Linked DNA regions of Styela clava. The protein of the gene in region 1 interacts with the protein of each later gene in a pairwise test. Links are inferred from orthologs where the notes say so. Each region holds a gene or a part of one and is shown in the gene's direction. Other genes may lie near its edges.

The links.
Region 2: the proteins of general vesicular transport factor p115-like (region 1) and uncharacterized protein LOC120346764 interact in a two-hybrid assay, tested with the Caenorhabditis elegans proteins (2 studies listed by BioGRID). The link is inferred for Styela clava from reciprocal best matches to the Caenorhabditis elegans genes uso-1 and nhl-1.
Region 3: the proteins of general vesicular transport factor p115-like (region 1) and uncharacterized protein LOC120337842 interact in a two-hybrid assay, tested with the Caenorhabditis elegans proteins (2 studies listed by BioGRID). The link is inferred for Styela clava from reciprocal best matches to the Caenorhabditis elegans genes uso-1 and rsy-1.

What each region holds. Positions count from the first base shown.
Region 1 is NC_135253.1:16,171,721-16,179,076, reverse strand, and holds the start of general vesicular transport factor p115-like, read left to right. Parts: upstream 1-4,152; 5' UTR 4,153-4,195; coding exon 4,196-7,144; 3' UTR 7,145-7,356.
Region 2 is NC_135257.1:20,852,900-20,860,998, reverse strand, and holds the start of uncharacterized protein LOC120346764, read left to right. Parts: upstream 1-4,653; 5' UTR 4,654-4,842; coding exon 4,843-4,970; intron 4,971-5,441; coding exon 5,442-5,577; intron 5,578-6,014; coding exon 6,015-6,137; intron 6,138-7,107; coding exon 7,108-7,212; intron 7,213-7,924; coding exon 7,925-8,010; intron 8,011-8,099.
Region 3 is NC_135259.1:16,063,125-16,071,365, forward strand, and holds the start of uncharacterized protein LOC120337842, read left to right. Parts: upstream 1-5,155; 5' UTR 5,156-5,284; coding exon 5,285-5,342; intron 5,343-5,875; coding exon 5,876-5,955; intron 5,956-6,504; coding exon 6,505-6,706; intron 6,707-7,228; coding exon 7,229-7,330; intron 7,331-7,655; coding exon 7,656-7,791; intron 7,792-7,859; coding exon 7,860-7,935; intron 7,936-8,241.

The sequences.
Region 1 (7,356 bases):
CCTATACAAAAATCAAGTGACAAATATTATAATTGCGATGGTGACATCACACAATCTTGAATAGTGGTGTGTCTTCACCTTACCTCAGGTGATTGAACTATTCCGGTCCCACACATTTTAAATTTATTTTAAAGGTAGGGTTTAATTATGAATCATTTTTAAAATTCAAATTAGGTCTTATTTTCGAGGAAACACGGTAGTTTTGCGATTATTAGCCATTTCTGTGTTATGCCATAAAACATACAAAAGAAAATAGAACTAACAAAGATATTTTGTTGTGGGTCGCCATAAGCTGCGGTAATAAATAGTGGGTCCCAACTCTAAAAAGTTTGGGAACCACTTATCTAGTCTTTAGTTATGGTACGGTATGTTCTGGACAAGATCCTTGTCGATTTTTTGTGTCATTTTAATCATAATCGGCTGTCCCATAGTTGGCTCAACAATTTTGAGCACGCCTGTCTTGTCAACGCATCTTGACATCTTGTGAGCCTACGTGAGCTGGAACTTTGTGAGGGGAGAAAGATAATAGTCGGAATCACTTACGTTTCATTCGTCACTGGGGCATTGTGGGGGATAAAAATGTCTTCAATCGGTGGCAATCATCTACATCTGTCTTATCCTTGACCACGAGCATGATAGATTTGCATCAGGTGACACACTGTTATAGGATTTACATATTTATCCCAGGTTCGTTCGGATTCAAAATGGCGAGGAAGAAGATTTATCTTTCCCGAGCGGCTCTTCAAAGAGCGTTAATGTTGTGCTGTGATTTGTACCGCGTTTTTGATTTGGCGAATCAATAAATGACAGAGTAAATTTCTTCTCGCCTTTTATCGGCATGCCTCTGCCGCAATGGTAACTGCTTTTTGTCATTCATCATTTCCAAATGAGGTAATCGAGAATCCCTATAAAATTGTTGCATTTGTCAGAGAGAGTAGAAATCTCGGATTTGTCAATACGTCATTTTAATATTTTTGACGTGTCCGTATTGAGTCAAAGGTCAAAATAACAGTATCAGTGTGATTTTCCCATGCAACTCAGAGCCCTGGGCTGTAAGTGTACCGGTAAATGTCGTGATACTTTTAGTTTTTAGGATGGATTATATAGCCTAGGTTTCTTTTTTCGCAACGTGCAATAGTTGCACAAATTGTGTACATGACATTGAGAGGGGACAAATTGTGTACATTATAGTGATAGGGATACAATGTTACAATGCTGAAAAACTGAGACGAGAATAGGTCTCTGATATTTTGAATGAATTGGTCACCTATTTTGAGCCCGAAGATTCTATTGAATTAATTTCTAGTGTCAGAATGTAGCGCCATTGTATACCGGTACCTGGCGAAATATTTAAGTTCAAGCCAGATGAGATAGTACGGTACCAATGTCACATCCTGCTGTCCTGTGAAACTACAGTACCGGTATAAAAACTGAAAAAAGAAGGTCGTACCGGTACCGGTACGGTACCGTCTGACCGTACTGTGATAGTCATGGGAAATGCTACAAATCCTTTTTTTTAATATTTGAGGCAAAAAGAATCATTTATTACAGTATTAGAAAACTAAAAAATAAAAATGAAGAATCATGTGTACAGTAAACAAAAGACCCAATAAAACAAAGACTATTTTTAAACAATGTTGATATCGTCCAATAAAATAAGCATATAATTTAAAATATCCGATTCAACTGACTGAATTAATGGAGGCTATCAAAAGCCAGAAAGACAGAAAATAACCGGATTCAAATGGAATAAGAATTGAATTTTATGAAAGACATAGGAAATTATTACAACTCTGAACTCTTCTAAATTTTGATTTAAAATAATTAGTAAAATTCTTGCCAACAGAAATAAAATAATTCTACCAGGTATGCATTATTAAGAACAAAAAAAATTGGTGAAAATGCTTTATTATCATTTGATCTTATAAAAGTATGTGATTCGGTTAATTTAGATTATTTATAAGATTTTAGAAAGATTTGGGATAAAAAATGAATTTATCATGTACACCGTCTATATAAAGATGGTGAAACTAGGATACTAATAAACGATTATACCGATTGAGAAATGTTAGATGTGATTTCTGCTAATACTAATACTGGAAACTTGAACTGGAATAAGTGAAAAAATAGTGGCTGATCCTCAAAAAATACTTATTTCGTCAGAAGGAAAGTGTTTGATAGTAAAACTTGAGTTATTACCGCAAATTTTGTTTTTATGCAAAATATTTTCAATGCCAAAATATATTTCTCAAAAAGTAAATGAAATTGTAAATGAATTTTTACAATATTTATTTATATTCCTGGTATGTGTGTATTTGAATATATAGAAAACACCATTACCACTACCATTAAATAATAGTATGGTACATAGATTTATTCCACACGAGTATTATAAAAGTGTAATTGATTTTTTAGGAAATAATAGTTTAAATGCGTATGATATCAAAATGGGCAAACAATATTACCATATAAATGACGAAGTTATATACAAATTATATAAAAACTTTCAACTATAAATTCCTTGGGATATTTTTTCTTTGTAAACTAAGCCATAGATTAAAAAAAAATAGGAAAAAATGAAATGTGTGTATTATACAATGAGGAACCTGAGTTTATTTCACATATATTCATGTCTTGTGAATTTTCCCAGAAAATGTATGATGATTTCGTTTATTTAATTATATAAAAATACATTTTGTTATAAATTATGATTTTTGCATATTATTTAATTTCGATGATTCTTTATTTTGTCATATACCGGTAGCTACTGTAGATTTGAAAGCAATTAATTTTTTGTTATCAACAGAGTGATATAAATTTGGATCATGAGATATTCGATTACGGTATATTTGAATATAAAACACCTGATATTGCTCACTTTAAAATGCAGATAAAAATGGCCATAATATATAGAAAAAATTCTAGAGTAAACAAACCCTTTGCAAAAGAATTACAAAGTTTATGCAAACGAATTATTGGAAAAAATTAAGAAACTTAATTAAAATCACTTATGGAGTGAACCATTTAAAAAAAAAGTTTAGTTTGTTTTGATTCATTAATAAAGCTAATACAACAATACATAAATGGTAACAAGAAGTTGCTGAATATATCAGAAAAGAAATCAAAATATACTTAAACACAGTTGACCAATTGTTTATTTGTAGTCTAGTAGTATACCTAACTTAAATTTTACCCCATACTGGTACTGACATCATAACAACAGGTGGTACTGAACCACTGTTTACCTTAGTGATATCACCATGTAACATAGGTGAGTTTGGAAAGTAAACAAGCACTTTACACTCCCTACAGCGCTTGATTTCAAAAAACTGATAGACTGAGCAAAGGTCATAATGAAAATGTTTTGAATGTCTTTCTCCTCTATCAGTCTATCGTTATACAGTTATATGCATTATCCACACTTTACATCACTATTTTTTTCTCACATAGTGGCCTCAAAGATTATATATATGTATCTTATATAGATTGTTGCAATAAATAGAATCAAATTTTGAGTTTGAAAATTTTTTTATTCAAACTTTACATCTGTAGTTATAACTTTGTAACTGTATAAAGTTATATCTTTATTACCAGTGGTTATTTCATACCCCAATTTGCAGGCCTATCCAGTACTGTATTATTGCCAGAATTATGAAGTATCAGTGTTGCAAAAGCTTTTCGAAGTACAGGGCGATCAAAGTGTGAGGGTAAACTCAAATTTACCAAGATTATAAAAATCTAAATTGTAAATTTTTTAACTGCTAAGTCGTTAGATCCCGCTGTTTTATTTCATAAAAATAAAGCTTCATTTGTCCAACACCAGCTTGTCCATCCATATTGACAAAGACTGTCAAGATTTTGAATTTCTTTCGATCCGCCTTCTTAATGCAGATCTGCACTTTCTACATGATTGACATAAAAGTACGTAGAAACAGAATGAAATTACTGTAATTATAGAATCTCCCGAAATGATACACGGGGTTAGGCGTAGGCTGGTTTTGAAAAGGCACTTCCATTTCCAAGTGCCATATTGCCCACCAAAACATACACTCGCAGACTTGTTTGACTGCTATAAAAACTTCTGGGGAATGGAAGCATTGGACCAATACCCCAAATCCAGTAAAAAAATAGTCAAAACCACTAACTATTTCATTTTCTTTTTTCATAAATAGATATCAATAAACAGCATTACAAAATGAATTATTTTAAATCATTTGTGAAAGGCAGTGATGAGCAACAGCCGAGTGGAGCAGAAACCGTATCAAGACTTTGTGATCGTGTTGCATCATCTACGCTCCTTGAAGATCGTCGAGATGCTGTTCGTGCATTAAAATCATTGTCGAGAAAGTTTAGATATGAAGTTGGCACACAGGGAATGGCTCATATTGCTACTGTTTTAGATCAAGACGCAAATGATGATGAAATGGTGGCATACGCACTCGATACATTATGCAATCTTATGTCTGATATGGAAGAAGATGATGACGTAGTTCCGCAACCTGAATTAACTCGTACATTTGTCGAAAAATTTACCGCAGAAGAGAATAATATAAATGTGGTATTAGATTTCGTTGAGCGATATGATTTTAGTGTTCGACTCTCCGCACTACGGCTTATGATTTCATTACTGAAAGGTCAACCTGGTAAAATACAAGAAACTGTGCTTATGAAACCCATGGGTATATCTCGACTAATCGATTTATTGACCGATTCAAGAGAGGTCATTCGAAATGATGCGTTATTGTTGCTCATAGAACTGACGCGTGGAAATTCCAACATTCAAAAAATTATTGCTTTTGAAAATGGCTTTGATATTATTTTGGATATAATAAGGGCAGAAGGGATGAGTGATGGTGGAGTTGTAGTAGAAGATTGCCTTTTGTTGTTACTACATTTACTAAAGAGAAACACATCAAACCAGCAATTTTTCAAAGAAGGTTCATTTGTGCAGCGTTTGACACCATTTTTTGAAATTGATTCAGAGTCTGTATGGTCTGCACAAAAAGTTGCGAATTTGCATCTCATGCTGAAACTTGTAAGAACGTTGGTTGCACCTTCAAATCCATCGAATGTGACATCTTCTTGCCAGCTTGTAATGCAGCAATGTGGATTACTAGAGAGGCTGTGTAATATGTTGATGGCCACTGGTGTCCCGGCAGATATTTTAACAGAAACTATCAATACTGTTTCGGAAGTTATTAGGGGATGTGAAGCTAACCAAGCTATGTTTGAATCTGTTCATGCACCTTGTGAGCCCCCTCGTCCAGCGATTGTTGTTTTGTTGATGTCAATGGTCAATGACAAACAGCCTTTTGAATTACGGTGTGCTGTTTTGTATTGCTTCCAATGCTTTTTACATGTTAACCCAGCAGGACAGACAAAAATTGTCAACACATTACTGCCTTCCTCACTTCAGTCACAACAAATTTCTGCCGGTCAGCTGCTTTGTGGAGGATTATTTGCTGCTTCTGATCCACTGTCTAATTGGTGTTCTGCTGTCGCGCTTTCACATGCATTAAATCGTAATACCGAAATGAAACAGCAACTGTTACGAGTGCAACTCGCGACAAGTGTAGGAAATCCACCTATATCTTTGCTGCAGCAAATTACAAATATAGTTAGGCAATCAACGAGCATCCAAAGTCGAATGGGTCTACTTATTCTATTGTGCAGTTGGCTTTCTGGTTGTCCAATTGCTGTTTCCCATTTATTACATGATTCAGATGCTGTTCCTTTCCTTTTGAGCCAAATAGCCGAGCACGGAAATGAATTGGACCACGTTTTGCATGGAGTATGTGCTCTTTTGCTAGGAATATGCATTGTTGATAATGATGGTTCAGTTCCTCAATGCACGAAAGAGTCACTCATTGAGTTAATTGTAGCAAGAGTAGGAATTGAAAGATTTTGTGACTCTCTCGGAGCAGTTACAAAACATGATCTGTATTCTAAAGCGTTTCAACGTTCTCAACCTGTTGCACCATCTTCAGATGATATGTTGTTCGATCATAATTTTACTAAATTGTTCAAAACTTTGGAAGATAATATTATAAAAATGGTTTCAAATTTAGAGGATGTCAAGAAAGAGGAAGAATCAAAAGCCGCCATCAAGGCCCATGATTCTATCATAAAGGAATATCAGGCTCTAATAAGAAGTCAAGATACAGATTTAAAAGAATTGAGATCTCGTGTTTCCAGTCTTGAATCTGAATTATCACAAACAAAGGAAAACTTGGATGAACGCACAGCACAAGTTCAGCAATTAAAAGATCAATATAACGTATTGAAAACCATGCATGATTCTTCATCTGGGGATGGTGTCAGCGATGCTGCCGAGTTATTGTCATCTTTGAATGTGCAAATTGAGGAACTGAAGCAAGAAAATGCAGAAAAAAATGCAAAATTACAAGAAAAAGAAAATTCTATTCAACAGTTACGTAATGATCTTGATGGTTTAGAACTTCGTTCTCTGCAACTCTCGTCCTCTGATGAAACTCAACAAAACAACAATCAACAAAGCAATACTAACATACCAGATGACAGTATACATGCCATCAATGTGCCTGATGATTCGAGACTACAAGAACATAGATTAGTACAACTCACAAATGAAGTTGATTCATTACGATCCCAACTTCAAGCGAAGGATGAAGAAATTTCTAGGTTGTTATCAGAAGGTGCACGCTCTCAAAACACAACTGATGAAGTGTATGATGTACTTGTTTCTGAGAAGACGTCAATGCAAACAAAGATTCATGATCTTGAATCCAGATTGAATGTTACCAGCCAAGAAAACCTCACACTTCAGGATAAAATCTCAACACTTGAGGAAAAACTCTCCAATTTACAGAGTAAAGAAGAATCTCTTGTACAACAAGTTACCGATGCAAACTCCAAGGCAGAAGAGGCAAAAGCACAAGCTGAAGATTTCAAAAAAGAGCAAGAAGATTTGCTTATTCTTTTATCAGACCAGGAGACAAAGCTAGAATCTTATAAAACTAAAATTAAGACTCTAGGTGGGGAAATATCAGATGAAGATGATGATGAAGAAGAAGAGGATGATGAGGAAGATGAAGATGTTATAGAATCCTTAAAGCAAAATTCTCAACCTGGAGACACTAATGGTGTTAACACCCACCCAGAATAATGTCAAAAATAATTCTTGAAAATATTTTTATTCCATATTAGTACAAATTCTATTTAGACTGCTGTACATGTCTCACTGCTTTAAATCTCAGAATGGAATGCTATGTAATATTATGTAAATTTCATACAGATTTGTATAAGAGAATTTGAAGGAATTCTAGATTTACTGCTTGTATGTCCATGCATACGATAGGCTTCCTGTACAGTTAGGAC
Region 2 (8,099 bases), on another chromosome or scaffold:
CTTGAAGCCACTTACTGCAGATATGCAAATATCTGAAGCAAAATCAGTGCGGGACCAAATGAGTAAGTTTAGGTTACGTTTGAATCTGTTTATCTGTCATTTCTTTGGATCTCAATGGATGTATTTTTTCAGGCGTAACCGTTAAACTTCCTACCGATCATTCGTGAAGTCGGGATGTTGGGACAGGGTGGGCAAAAAAATAAGCTTTCCACTCCCATCTTGTGTGGTTGTTGAGATAAGAAAACATTTTGAATCCCCCTCATACACAGGATTCCAACCACCCTCACTTTAGAAAAAAGTTTCTCAGCAAAATGCATGAAAAGGGCCAACTCAATATTTATAACAAGAAGTATTGAAACAATGGAGATTTTAGATAAAAAATGTATTGGCACGAATGAATTACCAGAAAATTAGAACTAAATTGATAAAAAATAGACCAAGAAGGGCGAAGGGATAAATTGCATTTAATGAACTATGGGCTGTGGAGCAGAGGGTACAAATTTCAAACTTCAATGGCCTGATTTGCAGAGATTAGTCTCTCTCAATAAAACAAAAGCTTGCATAAACCAAATTTGATTTCCTGAAAGGTTAGAGCCGAAATTGCTTGCATAATTTTTTCCGACTCCACAGCCCTAGTTGTCAATACTTGACTATTAAAACAGTTTTACAGCTGCTGTATTGCAAGCTCCTTATCTGGTCTTTCACACCTGGAAGACAAGGTCGGTAATGGTGACAGATCATTCTGGCTTGTGGTTGAACTGTCATCAACCTCTGAAATCACTTTCTGAAGCAGGACTTGCACATATTCTGTGAAAAAGATGGCGGATCACTTATACTTCTGTTTTTCAGGTTGAACCAATTAAATTTTACGGACTCACCAAAACACGACTCAGAACGTAATCCTCGAATACCGATTATATCCACACTGGCAAAAAATAGCTTTGGTTACCACCATGGATCCAACCACCTTTTCCACATCAACGGTACAAATTCCAAAGCACTTTTCACAACTAGCAAAGATTTGCAAAAGTTTATGTAGACTAACGATGTATTCCTCTTTTATAATTTTGTATGACTCTCCTTCTCTATAAATTAATTATAAGTTAAATGAAAATGTCTATAAAAATATGCCTTCAAGGATCGATACTTACCCACTGCGTGACTCATCTGAAACACTATTCAAGTCATAGCTACTGTCTGTACTTGAGTCGTCATTCATATCAGAAGTGTCAGAGTCAACAACCATCTTATGCTCCTGTGTTTTGAACAGTTGTAGCGGAGGTGCAACTATCAGATCACATTGTAAGCAGTGGTGAGCTGTAGCCGGAAGGCACTGGAACGGCGTTCCGGTTGTTGGACGTCTTATTGCATTTGCGTTCCTGTTGTTGAAATAAAATTATGGTATAAAAAGTCTAGTTTTTCTGGTAAACTTAGGTATTAATTTATGTTTTGTTACATCATACTTCGTAAATATATTTACATCACACCACGCAAATGATTAGTACAGAAGTAACATGTAATATTGTCGTTTCCCGACCTTTGACCCCATACAAATTCATTCTATAACTTTCTATTAATAACGTTTGTATTGAATTGCTATGAATATTCTTGTAATTTTACACAGAGATATATTTAGACAATTTCTTCATATTTCATTGCAGTTCTTCTTCGCCTCTATCTTAAAACAGACAAATCCTTCTGTAACGTCCGCGTCGTGTTGTAAATATTACATTTTTGCGAATTAGGTGCGTTCCGGTTGTTACGATTTTTCCAGCTCATCACTGATTGTAAGCCGACAGATCTTGTACTGGTATAAGATTGGCATGCTGCAACAGATATTGAATAATAAGAAAGAAGCAGCTCAACAATAATATAAAACCTAAAGCTGAATATACGTCTAGTTCTTAACCTTTACTGTGATTTCCACGTCTCTGTAGTGCCTGGGTGTGCTTAGACTGCTGTGTTATTTTCTGAAATGGCAAAAGTTTAACAATTTATACTCTAAAGTCTAAACTGTTTGACAACATAAACTGCAATTAATGCTTCTGACTAACCATAAGTTTATACTCTGTAACTGTTTTATTGCACGAAGTCTTTTCTGGCTCATGAGTTTGATCAATTGGTGTTTGCTAAAAAAAAATTCAGAGGAGGAATAACAATAGCCTGATCATATATTTGTTTTCTAACCTTTAGTCAATTCTCTGAAAATATTACTGCACCTGTGATAACAAAGCTTCATCATGTGTAAAGCCACTGGTGATATAAAAAAACTAACTGATAAATATGCATATATAAAAACAAGACCTGTCATTGAATAATTTCTTTCTACAAACCACCGCTCCCTCCTTTTTGTGCACCACATATCTTGTTTTTTTTTTCCAAATAAGATTCACTGCCAACTTCGGTTAAAACTCTCTGTCTGACCTCATCATAATAAGATGTCATTATCTCAACATAACTTTCTGGACTGAATGGCTTAGTGGTCTTTTGTGTGTTCGACAAGAGAAATCAGATCGGGCTAGTTTGACAAACAAACTCCCACGTCTTCGAAACGTCTCATTGAACATAACAATACACTCAACTTGATTGCATTTATTACAAGTCTTTGTTTCAAGTACACATCAGAAGAGTCGTCAATATAACTGAAGTTGTATGGTGGTTTGATCTTGGCTGTTTCTAGTATTACGGATTCTAAATTTGCCATGATTGCATTGGCGTATTTAAGTGTCATTTTGGTTCACATTGCTGTTCTGTTGATTTGGAGGCAATGTTTGTCATTATATACAAAATTGTTGTTGTTCAGAACCATATTAACTGCGTTTGTCATTGCTGTGCTCCATAGGATACTTTTCTACTGATGAAGATATTGAATACTATTCATGTAATAATCCGGCCCGCCGAGGACTTCATTTTCCCACATCTGACCCGCCGACTAAAGAAGTTGCCCACCCCTGGACTAGTCTATCGCAGCATTTGCGAGACTCATTTTTGATTACAGCAACTAAATTAATGCTCATTTGAAGACATAATGACAATCAAGATATTGAATTCGCAACTATTTTTTCGAAACACAACTGAAAACTGACAAATAACCCGCAAAACTACAAATACGAGGCAGTGTTTACTATACAACCATACTTGAGGGATGGAAGTGTCTGAGCGGCTGCAGAAATTGCAATTGTTACATCATTGTTGACTTTTTGTTGATTGGTTATGGTTATGGAAATAAACAAGGAAATTGATGCCCGGGAAAAGAGGCATAAAGGCCGTACAGCGAATACATACAGTATGGAAGATAAAGCGTTGTCGGCATATTTTAGCCAACTCAAAAGTTTAATTGTTGCAATAATTCAAAACTGCTTGCGTACCACAGGTTGAGAACCACTGTATGGACCTTTCCCCGACCTCATGTACCGTGTCGTCACCATAGTTACAATCAAACAACGCTGATTCAAGACAACGGTCTTGTTGTCTTAAACTTGAGTCGCAGTCCTGACCGCGTTAAATATACCTTAAAAACACCTTGAAACAAAATAAAAATATTTCTTAGCATATGAATGATTGTAAACATTTCTTATTTCTCACAAAACAAAAAAAACATGGCGGGTATAGAGTAAACCGAAGTGATTGAGGTAAACAAGCGTAACAAGTGCTCCCAAACACAAACTATAAATATGATTATAGATTTAACGAGTTTTTTATAATGCATTTTGGAATTCAAGTTATACCTATTTATACTTTTATTCTTCACGTTTAGTTAGCATAATTAACAGGCAAATTTCAAGTCATATTCGCGATGAGCATTCAAATATTTCGGAGGAACACGACATTTTTGTTGTAAACAAAGACCTGATTACAAACCAAACGCAGATCGAGGCTTAATTTCCAATTGGTGTTCAGTTTCATATTGGGTTTATTGAGAGTTAAAAGTCTTTGATATCATATCCAGTTGCCATTACAAATTAATGTTTTCGGCACTAGAGCTTTTGAAGTGGCATTACATCACATGGAACAGGCTGTTTTTATCAATATATCAAGTGGCATTTCATGTGTTATTTTGAGTGCTTACGCCGATCCACGTAATGTTTTCTGGTATGTTTTATTTATTAGGAAGGGAAATGCAGGATTAGGAGTTGACTTGGTTTTATATTTTTTTGTGTATTGATGTATGAGAGTCCCACAGTTTTTTTTTTATTACTGAAACGCAGTGATGAGTATGTAATGAAGGAATGGAATGAAAGAGGAATGTTAGGATACCCAATATACAAGTATTACTATTTGCATGAACCATATTAAAGTACCCAATTTACACATTGTATGTCAGTATGCAAGATCGTCGAAGGGTATCAAGGCTCATGACCATGTGGACTGTCATAATTGGTTGCAACAACCACTTATATTGTTTAAAATATGAAAGTGCAACTTTCATAAAGCTAAGAGATTGAAATTAAATAAAGTAGTTTTTATGCATAGTGAAGCAGCGGTAAAGAGTTCAAATATTATCGAGAAGAGGGGTGTAACGACAAAGGTTGAGAACCCACTGCTTCAAGCGAGCTTGAATAGAAAATTAAATCTGCTCATTTCTTTTGATGTTTCACGTAACATGGTCTTCACTACAATACAATAAAGATGAGTTAAATCTTAAAGTTTCTTTTTTTCCATTCATACCAGACATTGGAAACGTATGTTTTGAATAAAAAAAATTAAGTAAACAATATTCAACAAAATACAAAGTCAACTGGATAGTATATAAATAAATGTAAACAACATACAAACAAAAATACATACTGAAAGAACATAAAACATCGGAGTTTCAGGGAGACTACATGGAGACTCGTTAGAATGGACCAGATAGAGCAATTGCTAACTTGCCCGGTTTGTCTTGACCGTTTTAAACAACCGAAGATACTACCATGTCAGCATACATTTTGTTTGAGACCATGTTTGCAAAATTTAGTGACGGATCGCAGGTGAGTTCTCTATTACTCAGTGAAGGCGGCAATATCACCTCTCTACAGTATCTAACAGAATGAGATTATTTGGACCAGTCTTGCCTCAATGACTTGCAGTGGCAGAGTCAGAATGGCGGGCTCGAATGATTGGGCGATTGAGTTATCATTTTAATCGTTAAAACCTCCCTTCCATCCCATTTCTGTGTTCTCCATGTGGGTTGCTGGTTTGAATCGATCAGGAATAAGTATGCATGAGAGTATTGCTAGATTCCTCTTTGATTTAGGTGGTGATTTGCCAATTGGTAAGCCGTCTTATCGTTTTTTCTCTCCCCCTTGATAAATTTGAAAATAATATTATTTTTGTCTGAAAGTATTTTTATACAAAAGCGGGAGCAGAAGGGGAAAGGGGTCATAGAACATGAAAGTTTGAGGACTTCTGGCTTAGTACAATACACCAAATGAGGTTTCAAAGTTGACTATTTTTTGCAGCATTCGATGTCCAGAATGTCGTTCTACACATCTTCTGCCTCGTAATGGTATCAATGGACTTCCAAATAATTTAACCATTGTTAAGTTTCTTGATCTTCCTACCCAGAGATCTTCCCCTAAGGAAATCGTTTGCCAGGTAAGAGTGGGAAATGTCTTGTTCAGGGTAAATTTGTGAAAAAGTAAATCCTGAGTTCCTGCGGAAAATTTTTTTTGTTCAGCTGATTATGGAGTGGAAATAAACTAATTATACTTTAGACTCTAGAGTTGTTTGAAAGTCGATTTTAAACTTTTACTCTCCGGTAACTCACTATAAACATATATTAAGTGAATGCCCATGACTATAATCTAAGACGCACCAACAGAACTGTGTAATCGGCTCCAAAGACACACATAGACGCTTCACCTTTACAGTTGGTTGGTCATGATCTGTTAACTGATGACATCACTGGTCATATTCATTCAACTGGCCAAACACTAGTTGCCAGAAATACAATAAATATCAATAATATCCACTGCCCTAGTAATCGGCATGGCTTTACATCAAGATCTTCAAATTCTTCAATTTTGTTTTAGGAATGTGGCAAGAAGAGCTGTGAACCAGAGAAGTGCAATCATTGTGAAAAACTTCTTTGCGAAAATTGTTTGACGAAACATTCACATATCCTGAAGCAAGATTTAGACAGAGCAGTTTCACAGGTAAATTGTGGGTACGATGACGCAGTCGTTTTCAACCTTTCCGTCAGAGCGGAACCCCAATTGAAAATTTCATAAGCTTAAGGAAGTCCTGTATAATAGTTTATTTTTCTTATGCAGAAAATTTCATATTTAAGCGATTCTAATACTGGCAAAACAATTTGATCTTCAAAATGCTATTCAATCTTCAATTGATATGCCTAGCGTTATGCACAAATCGAATATTGGATCTCCACTCTGGGAGACCCTTATTCTCAGCCATTCTGTGTGTCTAGCTGTAGGGTCTAAACTGCTCGGTCGACCCGGTTGAAATTTCTCAAACGGTTCATGCTGTGAGTAATTCGGTTTCACCGAAAGTCCGGATTGGTGTTTCGTTCCCATTGAATCAGGGAAAAAATGCGCCGATCGTTGAGAAATAACTGTTTTTCACAATTTGTCCCCATTATCTCATAACCAGGCTCGGAAATTAAGATTTCAAGATCAAGGACACATGCAGTTACTTAAAATGAACTGGCAATTTCGGTATCCCAGTCACTGCTGTTGTAATATGTTTTGCGTGGATGGTAACGTGTTACTGAATTTCGGGCCACCTTGTGTATCAGCGGAGATCCTGTACGCCTACCGGCTTGTTTTATAAGGAGTGCATAAATATATGTTGTAAAATTACCTAATGAATATTGCATTGCACCAAGTAACAAAACTCCTCCCTGGAGAGGAATTCCTCGTCAGTTGGAAATCTGTGTCTTCGGTGGGGTGGGATTAATTTTTCTAAAGATGTTTATATGTTTCATTCCTGAACCAGTTTTCGTATCCACTGAAATATAAGGAGCTATTATGGTTCAAAAAGACCGTAATTTTCTTCCAGTTTGTCACTCAGAATAGTCACCTGAATAAACGAAATTCTCTCTACAGCCTTTTTTTCAAAAATGTAGAATTGTTGAATTTTATATACTGGTATATATTTTTTCTGTAGGTCAAAAGACTTCTCCCTAAGGTATCAGAACTCATCTCTGACCTTGAAGAAAGGCAAAAAAAGTCAAAGGAAAATGGGGAGGCAGTGAAACTAGAAATTGCGCAGGTAGTCACTTAGTTATTTAGAGTAGGTTTAAGCTGATTTTTGAATTTTTACAAAATCAGACTTCCAAGCGCAACTAATGAACTTTTGAACCACTACTGCACAGCATCTTTCATTTATGCTCCTTTCACAAGAATCTGCCAGGATAAAAAAAAAGATAATACAGGAGATACATTGCCTTGATCACCGCTTGAACATTTTCAATTTTATATTACCGTATTTTTCGGCTAGTAAGCCAAAGCAAATTTTTGCTCTGAAATGGGTATTTTTCCATATTTCTGTCCGATAAGCCGAGGCAGAAAAATCTTAGTTAAGCACCAATGCATGCTTTATTTTTATGATTCTATTTTACTCATTTTTTTGTTTCTCAGTTACGCACCAATGCGCCTCTCTCTTTAATTTGGTTGCAGTACACGTGCTAAAACTCCATGTTTCCATGATTCACACATGCTGGTATCGCTAATTTCTTTAGCTCATGATGCGGACACAAATGTGGCAACATTAAATATAATGATCACAGCGGGTATATTCCAAATTGGCGGTGTGAATCACGAAAACTAACGGAGAGCGTACATCATTGTGCCCCTTTTCCGGTGTTTTTTAGTCCAAAGCTAACAACAAAAAAAGAAGAAAGTATGGGGGGGGGGGGGGGACTTGGGAATCACTGTCTCTGTTTTTGCTGTATTTTTTCTAACAATGAGATTTTATCATTCAGTCTGTTGAACGTTGCATTTCTGAACTCCAGTCAAGAAAACAGCTATTGATGGAAGAAGTTGAGGCTTTTGTCGCCGTAGAAACAAGGTACCGGTAAATATTATTTCAGTATTATCATGGATTTCCATGGATCGATTTTGAAAATGTCGCTGGGGTTATACTGTTGTTGTTATCAG
Region 3 (8,241 bases), on another chromosome or scaffold:
TAATGCAATGTCGGGCACTCAATATGATCCTAGACAAAAAGGCACACTCAAAAACATTTCAAACGAAGAAAACTATTAAATAATGTTGCAAAATTTGAATGGGTGAAGCATAAAATAATAACATCTATTTGCGTAATGAAATGCAGTGCTGCGCATTCATTATGCGTAAGAAAGGCACGCATAAAACATCGCACATAAAAAAAAAGATGTACACGCTAAATCATGTACGAACACAATTAACTCTATGGACAATTTTTCTGCTGTTTTGTTTCCAATATATATATAGGATTACAAACGAGGCCTCAAAGAAGTTTCTGCAACACGTAGCTCAGCGACGTGCAGCCGATTTGTCTGCTTCGTTTTAATTAAAGCTAGTGATGAAAATGTTTTTTTTTGCATAACGCAGTAACTGGTTGAAAATACGGGCAATAGTTTGATTGCTCGGTTAGGCTACTTAGCAATGGGTATTCGTTATCAAGAGATATCCGAAATTGAGACAGTGATTCTTTTTTAAATCTTGACCGTAAAATAGAATCACAATTTTTAATCAAGCGTTTTCTTTTTTCCATCGGGTTCATCATAATAATCCCTCTGCAGTTGATCGACGCCTCAAACTAAATGAATTTACTTTAGAATGACAAAGTCGTCGGTAACTTGGCACCGGGCTCAAAATCCTACTGTGTCTGCTCAAAATACTGCGAAAGATCTCTGCGGCCCATGCTTTTTTGCGTGTCTCGTGACCACCTACAGGGTCACATCAAGTTCATATCTTACTAGAATATCATACTGTTCTTGACTGTTTTTTTGGTTCAAACAAAGAAATATGCATGAAGTTTTATATGGATGGTCATACTATTCAGAAAAAATACGCAGAATAAAAAAGCACGCGTGCAGATTTTTTGGTTTCTGAATCTTGCGAGATTTGATGGAGCGCATTCGCGATGAATCGGAGCTGAGAAAGCGAAAAGTGTGACCACTCGGTGCCGCACTATGACGGCGGCAGAGAAATTGCGTAATAAACCAACGCAACATCGTCTTCGGCAAAGTGACCCTTTGGTCTTCGGTAAAGCGATTAAGACGGCATAAAAACAACAAAACAACGAAATTTCTTGCTGACCTGCAAAAAAGCATCCGCTGACTGGCGGTTGGGAACCACTAATCAAGCGGATATATATATATATATATATAGTTTGCATAATATCCGTTTGTACATGCATGTACACAATTTGAACCAACGCCAGTCACGATAAAGACATTTTCTCGAGTCTCGAGGACTAATAATAAGTTACTACAGTCCGAATCGAATCAGGTCAAACTCGCGTCTCACCAACACTGCATGAAATGATGAAGAATGACCATTGGTCAGGATAGAACTAGATGTCGGAATGATCACAAAATACGTTATTAAATATATATGACAAATCTAGAAATTCAACAGATGCTCTTCTACAGATATTTGCTCAAGTTCACTAACGCTAAAACCAATCTTTAAGTTAGCAGAAGAAGCAGCAATAACAATATCAAACTAAATTTGTGAATTCTTTATGCAACCTCTGCGTGATAAAAACGTATAATCATATTTCTATCAAATACAAGAAATTAAAGGATCAATATATGTAGGTCTGCAACATGCAGTAACAAATAATTATAACTTTCTGCAATAATTATAAATCTTTTGCAACTTCAAACCCCACCTGTAAGCGCGATACATCAGTCATTGGAAAACTTGGATATGACATGTCTGCCTGTTATGTAGCGCAGTGATTTTCAACCTTTTTTGTACCGCGGAACACTTTTTTTATTCTAAAATTGTGGCGGAATACCAAATCAGATTTTTGGAAATAAACTATATTATGCAATTAACTGACATCGATCATTTCGGAATAAAATAAATCAACGAAATTAATAATATAGCTTGTCAACTTCAGCTGGAGAAGACGTTACACATTCCGATTCAGAGCTAAAGTACGGTACAAATAAATCATTTTGCGAGTTTGCTTATGCTTACTATGATGAGCTAGGAACAGAAATGGTATTTTAATGTGATATCTGGGCCTGTTTCGATGAGTTTCAATATTTTATTCTGGCTAGAATTTAAGAGGGACAAACACGCAGATCTTTCTCAACGACTCCTATTTTCTGGTGTTTTTTATATTCTTATGGCGGCCAATAAAAGGGTGGGCAAATCGAACATTTTTTTTGGAATCAAATAATTCGAATATTCTTAACAAATACCGAATAGTCCAATGACGAATATTTTTTATACACAACAGGGTCCAGAACGTCGGAGGTCGATTTGGAAATTAACAGAAACATTGAAAATCGGCAACAAAGCGATTTTTACTGGTTAATTTTGTCGTAATCGCTGATATTTAGTCCCCCTGAACGTTTCCATATTCCCGCCCTTTGTTCTTTTGCTATTTTAATATTTTTACAACTATTTTAATTTCTGTGGGTCGGCGGAGATCGAAGTTTCATATTATTGGCATACTTATGAGTTCACATCGGCGACAGATTTTAATTACTTTAAGGAGTGATTTCAAAGCCAAATTAATTGTATTCTGATATTTATCTTTTGCGCCGACTCTGATCTAACTTATCGTCGTTTGCAAATTAAACGTCCCAGTTTTGGGCAAATAATATTATCATTATCGTCAACGGGATGCACACATTTATTAAGACGACAATTGACTTTCTTAGGCTTAGTGGTATTTTCGAAATAAATCAATTTGATACTGTGATTAGATAAATCTGCAAAGCTGTGATTGCGTGAATCATGAATGTTGATTTAAAATCTGAAATAAAGGCATTTCTACGTGGTCGTTAGGCAGTACTCTTGAACGATATCTTATATACGCGACCTGATAGCAAAAAAAATGTAAACAATTTTGTGCCCAAGTGCTTTTGTGCCTAGTAGAAGGGAAGACGATGATTATATTTATTCACCTCAAGTTTACGATTTATTTTTCAACAAAATCAATACTCCGACCATTATCATAGCTAATATCGTTACCGAGAAATTCACAATTGTATTTACGGAATTTGCAAATTCAACACTTCACTTGACGATTTTGATGATGCCACGCCTTAATTATTACTGCAAGAAAAGCTTAAAAATGCAACGAATGTAATCAATTCCGATGATGACTCCATCCATGGTCGAGTATAATGTTCACATTTTTGAAACATTATTTGGTCAAGGATGAAATGGATCACTAAAACTACACGCCGAGCTATTAGAAAGTCTATTGAAAAGAATTATGGCCTGTCATTTCTTATCTGGTTATAAGTTTTTATACCGGCTTTTCAAAACTCTGACTCGCCATTTTCAAATCTATGCTATTTATATGGTACTCCCGTGGTATTTGAACCAAGATGGCTGACACATTAACGTAGTATGTGTACCAAGTTAGGGTCAGGCCATAACTTTGGGTACAAATACTATAGGAGTCACCTGGCTAGTCCCTGAATTCGTAATAGAGCTAAAATAAGGGTTATGGCTTAACCTGGTGCACATACTACGTTCTGGTGTCCAACGTCTTGGTTCGCATATTACAGGAGTACCATTTCTCGAATTTTCTGACGACCTAAAATTGCCGTTTCACCATGTATCGAAAACGTCTTTGTAACTCTTAATTTCCGATAATGATTTTCTATTCGGGTCATGCATAAGGAGGCTAATAACATCTTCATAATCTGGTAACTTTATTTAAATATATTATTTGGGTTGACGTTTCTACATTTACAGACTAGTGTCGGCGCGCTTTTTGCAAAATATCAGCAAAAGCCGAGGGTGAATTCTCGCGTAATCCAAGCCATCGATTCACCGGCGCGAGTTCCGTGCCCAAGCAAAGTGGTACAGATTACGCGGTATCGTACATACGAATAGTAAAATGTCATTCGAAAATTTTAATATTCCATTCGCTATTCGAATATTTTGCCCAGCCCTAGACCGGCCATGCTCAAAAAGCTCATTTCGCAAAGATAGGTAGTGGAAAATGGTAGCGAGATTGAAGCGCTTGTGAACCGCGGCTTTGTGAAATTTATATAAATTCATCGGACGGTTAAATATCAGTTATGATGTCATAATACTACGAAAAAGCAATTTTCCGCGGAACACCTGGAGGTCTCTCGCGGAACACCAGTCATTTGGGTTGACAAAAGCGTTGAAAAAAGGCGCTGAAAATCACTGATGTAGTGTGTAATTTATACAAGTTGTAAGCGCCATGCCGTTATATTGAAATTAACAGGGCTTCAGAAGTCGTATATTTACGATATTTGCAGTAGGCGTGCGCAAGATGGCGTGATGCACCATCGTCTCACATTATGCTTTGGCGCTGCTCAGGCGCACATTTATCAGTTTTCGATCTTTCAGCTTAAGAATCTTGAATTCAAGTATGAGTTATAAATATATATAAACAAAAAATTAAAACTGATCATGTAATGTCCGGATTAGGTGGCAACTCTGACTCTCCTACAATCGACTTGTTTATTTAGCTATTTTTCGATAACAATTGCTTATCAGCAATCAGTCAATGATGTTGAGATAATTTTAAACTTTATCGGACACATATTATTTCAAGATATATTTTAAGCGACACGTATTGACTAGTTTCCGTACTTTTGAATGACATTTGTTAGTTTTTAGTTATGCTTTTAATTTTAGACATCGATACAAATCGAATAATTCAGCATCAAGGTTAGAGAGAGAGAAAAAGATTTATTTTTTCGTCAATCATAATAAAATAACAGTCATCGTGATAATAAAAATAATAACAAGTAATAAAAAAATTAATCGTGTTGTCGTTGACTGGATGACTCTTTGAGTCTTTCGCGACCACTCGTCTATTGCAACAAGCCACGATCCGTATTTGTAATTTGTTACACGCCTTTTATTTATTTCATTTTGTACACTAGTTTTGCATGACGAAAATAAAAATCTGAATCTGAATTCAGCAGCCATTTTGCTTCAGAAGTGTTGTAGTTGCGCTAAAGAAAGAAAAACGACCCAGAAAAGTTGGGATATACCATCCGAAAAGTAGCTGTCAGTACCTTAAAGACAGTGTTAAAAACAAGTTAGTGATTTCGATCATGCTAAATTCCATACCTGCATAGAAAATTTCATACTGCGCAAAATTGGAGACGGACATCTAGACTCAAAACAGCAGAGCTGCAGCTTCAGCTGTTTTTCAGTTCATGAGCGACGCGCGCTGAATCACTAATGCTGAATCTGCTATCGTTTAGTTAGGTTGCTGGTTGTGCCGGTAAACGGTACCGTAATAGGATGTGGAATCAGCAGGCACCTTGGCCGCTTCTTCAGCAGCAATCAAAACAAAATCCTGGTAAGTTTTGACTATTATATTATATCACTGCATTCACTGGTAATGTTATACCAAATACTGAAATACCGGTACTAAAATTGCTATTTTTGCTAAGATGAATAACTGAAATAAAATGTTAACGCATGTGTTAAGACAGATACCGGTACCGTACTGGTACCAGATGTTTAGAAGTTTGGTCGAACAACAAACAGTGTTCATGTGTTATGATCGATCATGCGAACTGTCAGACTATGAAGCCTCTTTCTGTCTTTGCAATGTTGTAGTATAGAAAAAATCACCAACACTGTAACAGGATAAAGAAATCTATAATGATAATAAACTTATGTTCAGTACCGATATGTCTATAACCATATAATTTTACACTCATGACTATATTCAGATATTGGATGACAGAGTTAGTTATTCGGTCAGTCATTTTTGTCTGTGAAATGGCATAGGCTATATTTTTTGTTATATTTATTCATTTTTCCTTGTATACGGTATATTACGGAAATAAGTCTAATTTCACTTTTCTGAATGTTATATTTTTGTAGGTGAAGTTGATTGGGCAGCTCTTGCTCAAGCTTGGATTCATCAGAAAGGAACAGAAGATGAACAGAATTTGCCGCAACAGGTATATAGAATCAGTTTTCGCAATTATTTATTGTTACTCATTCAAAAAGTTAAGTGGTAGGCCTGATCACATTTGAAAATGTGTAATGTCTGAATTTCGCATTTCACAATGGCTGGGACATCCTCAATCTTCAAACACGTCTATTCAAACGATAAATACATACAAAAACCACTAAGCAGAGCTGCATAATAAGCTAAAAAGAAGTAAAATCTTGAAAATCATGTCATTGGATTTTTCAGAAAAATTTTTACGCCTTCAAGAGCAAAATTTAATGGGCTGGTATTTCTTTGTTTTGTGTGATAACGGGAGCGGAGCATATTGCGATTGATTTATAATATCATGGCTAACATCGCACTATATTTTGAATGTGCCATCATACCCAGACACCCTTGTTTCAGAAACAAATTGTGTGTTTGTTTAATATTTCCAAATATTGGGGACATTTTTAAAATCAGGGAACTCTATCATATTGAATTCGTAATGTTATTCACATTATTCTTGTTTTACTGAACTGTACCTATCTAACATAATCTATCATCAAATACACAGAATGTGGCAAAACCCCCTGAACCATCACAAAATATACCTCCTGAGCAAGTACCAGTTGCTACACAACAGCAGATGTTATGGCAACAACAAGGGCATTGGCAACAAAATCAAGGCTGGGGACACGGACCTCAACAGGGATGGAATCAACAAGATCATTCTCAGCAGTGGAATCAAATGAACCAACATCCTCAGCAGTGGCAAGGTGACTTAACTTTTCAGGTTTTTCATTGAGAACCATAGATTTGAGGAAAACTACCAAACCCCAATCTTCTGATACAGTTATAAAGCGACATCAGCTTCGATTCCCGCCCCTATGCTGACAAAAATGCAAATTTCGATCACCGATTATAGGATTTTAGAAAATTTTGGGGGCTCCCGAAGTATGCGAACCAAGATGGCGGACATCGGAATGTTATATGTGTACTAGGTTAGGGTTAGGCCATAATTTTAGGTATAAATACTACGGGAGGCTCTTGGCTAGTCTTCGAACTGATAATAGGACTAAAATAAGGTAAATTGGAAAAAAATTATGGCCTAACCCTAACCTGTTACCCATGTTACGTTCCGATGTCCGCCATATTGGTTCGCATACTTCGGGAGCACCAAATTTTGATTCTAAATTACCAAGAAATGCGAATCTTGATAACAAAAACTTTGGTGTATGCAACCTTTTTTTAATTGTTTGTAGAGAACGCTTGGTCAATTTTATATTTTCTGAATTTAGGAAACTTCAACCAGCAGCAATGGTTTGGAAATGGTCATCCACCACAACATAATGAGGAACCTAAACCACCACTTCCTCCACCAGAAGATGAACCCACGAATGGTTGGTAATTTATATCTATAAGATCTATTTCTATCTACTAATATTGATTGATCATTTCTGCATATCCTTAAAACGAGTTACATATTTTCGATAGCAGTATATTACAAAGTTTTCAAGAGGAAATTTCTCTTATCATCTGTATTATCTATTAGTGAATATGTTCAAATTGGAATAGTTCCCAAATTACCATTATTTTTTAAAAATATTTATTTTGAGTATTGTACAGTGTTACTTCGTTCTGCATTAAAATAATGATATATGTTTGAATAAGGCCAAAATTTCCTACTATAAACCTCGCTGATATTCATTCTCTGTCCCAACTCAGGTAACAACGTAGCAGATATAATACCTCCGCCTCCATTGCCTGTTGATGGTCTTGGAAATATGGATCAAAATTTGAGAACGGATAATCACAAGGAAATAATAGATTACAGTCATCAACATCCCAGTGGAGAATTCAAGTAAGATAAAAAGAATGCTATGTAAATTTTTTTTGTTTTTTTCTTGTTATTAACTTCATGTTTTCTAGTTTTAGAAAAGATGAAAGATTTACTGAAGATTATCATCCAAAAAATAGTTTTGTTGTTGAAGATCAGGTGAATAATGTAATTTTGTTTATTGATTTGTGTTTTTGATGTTGAATATTTCAGATAGAAACTTTTGTTAGTGAGTTATTATTTAGATATGGTCTTACCATAAAATGGCAACGGTTTAGGGAGGTAGCTTTTACAAAGCCTTTTTTGGAGTGAAATCCATATAAAAATTCACTTCTTCAAATTTGGGAAGATTTGGAATTTTAAAATGAATTGTAAACTGTTGTACTATTTGTAAATATAATATATATATATATATAAAGGGTATCCGAAAAAATTTCGCCTGATTTTATAGTATTAACAATTATTTCTTTGTCT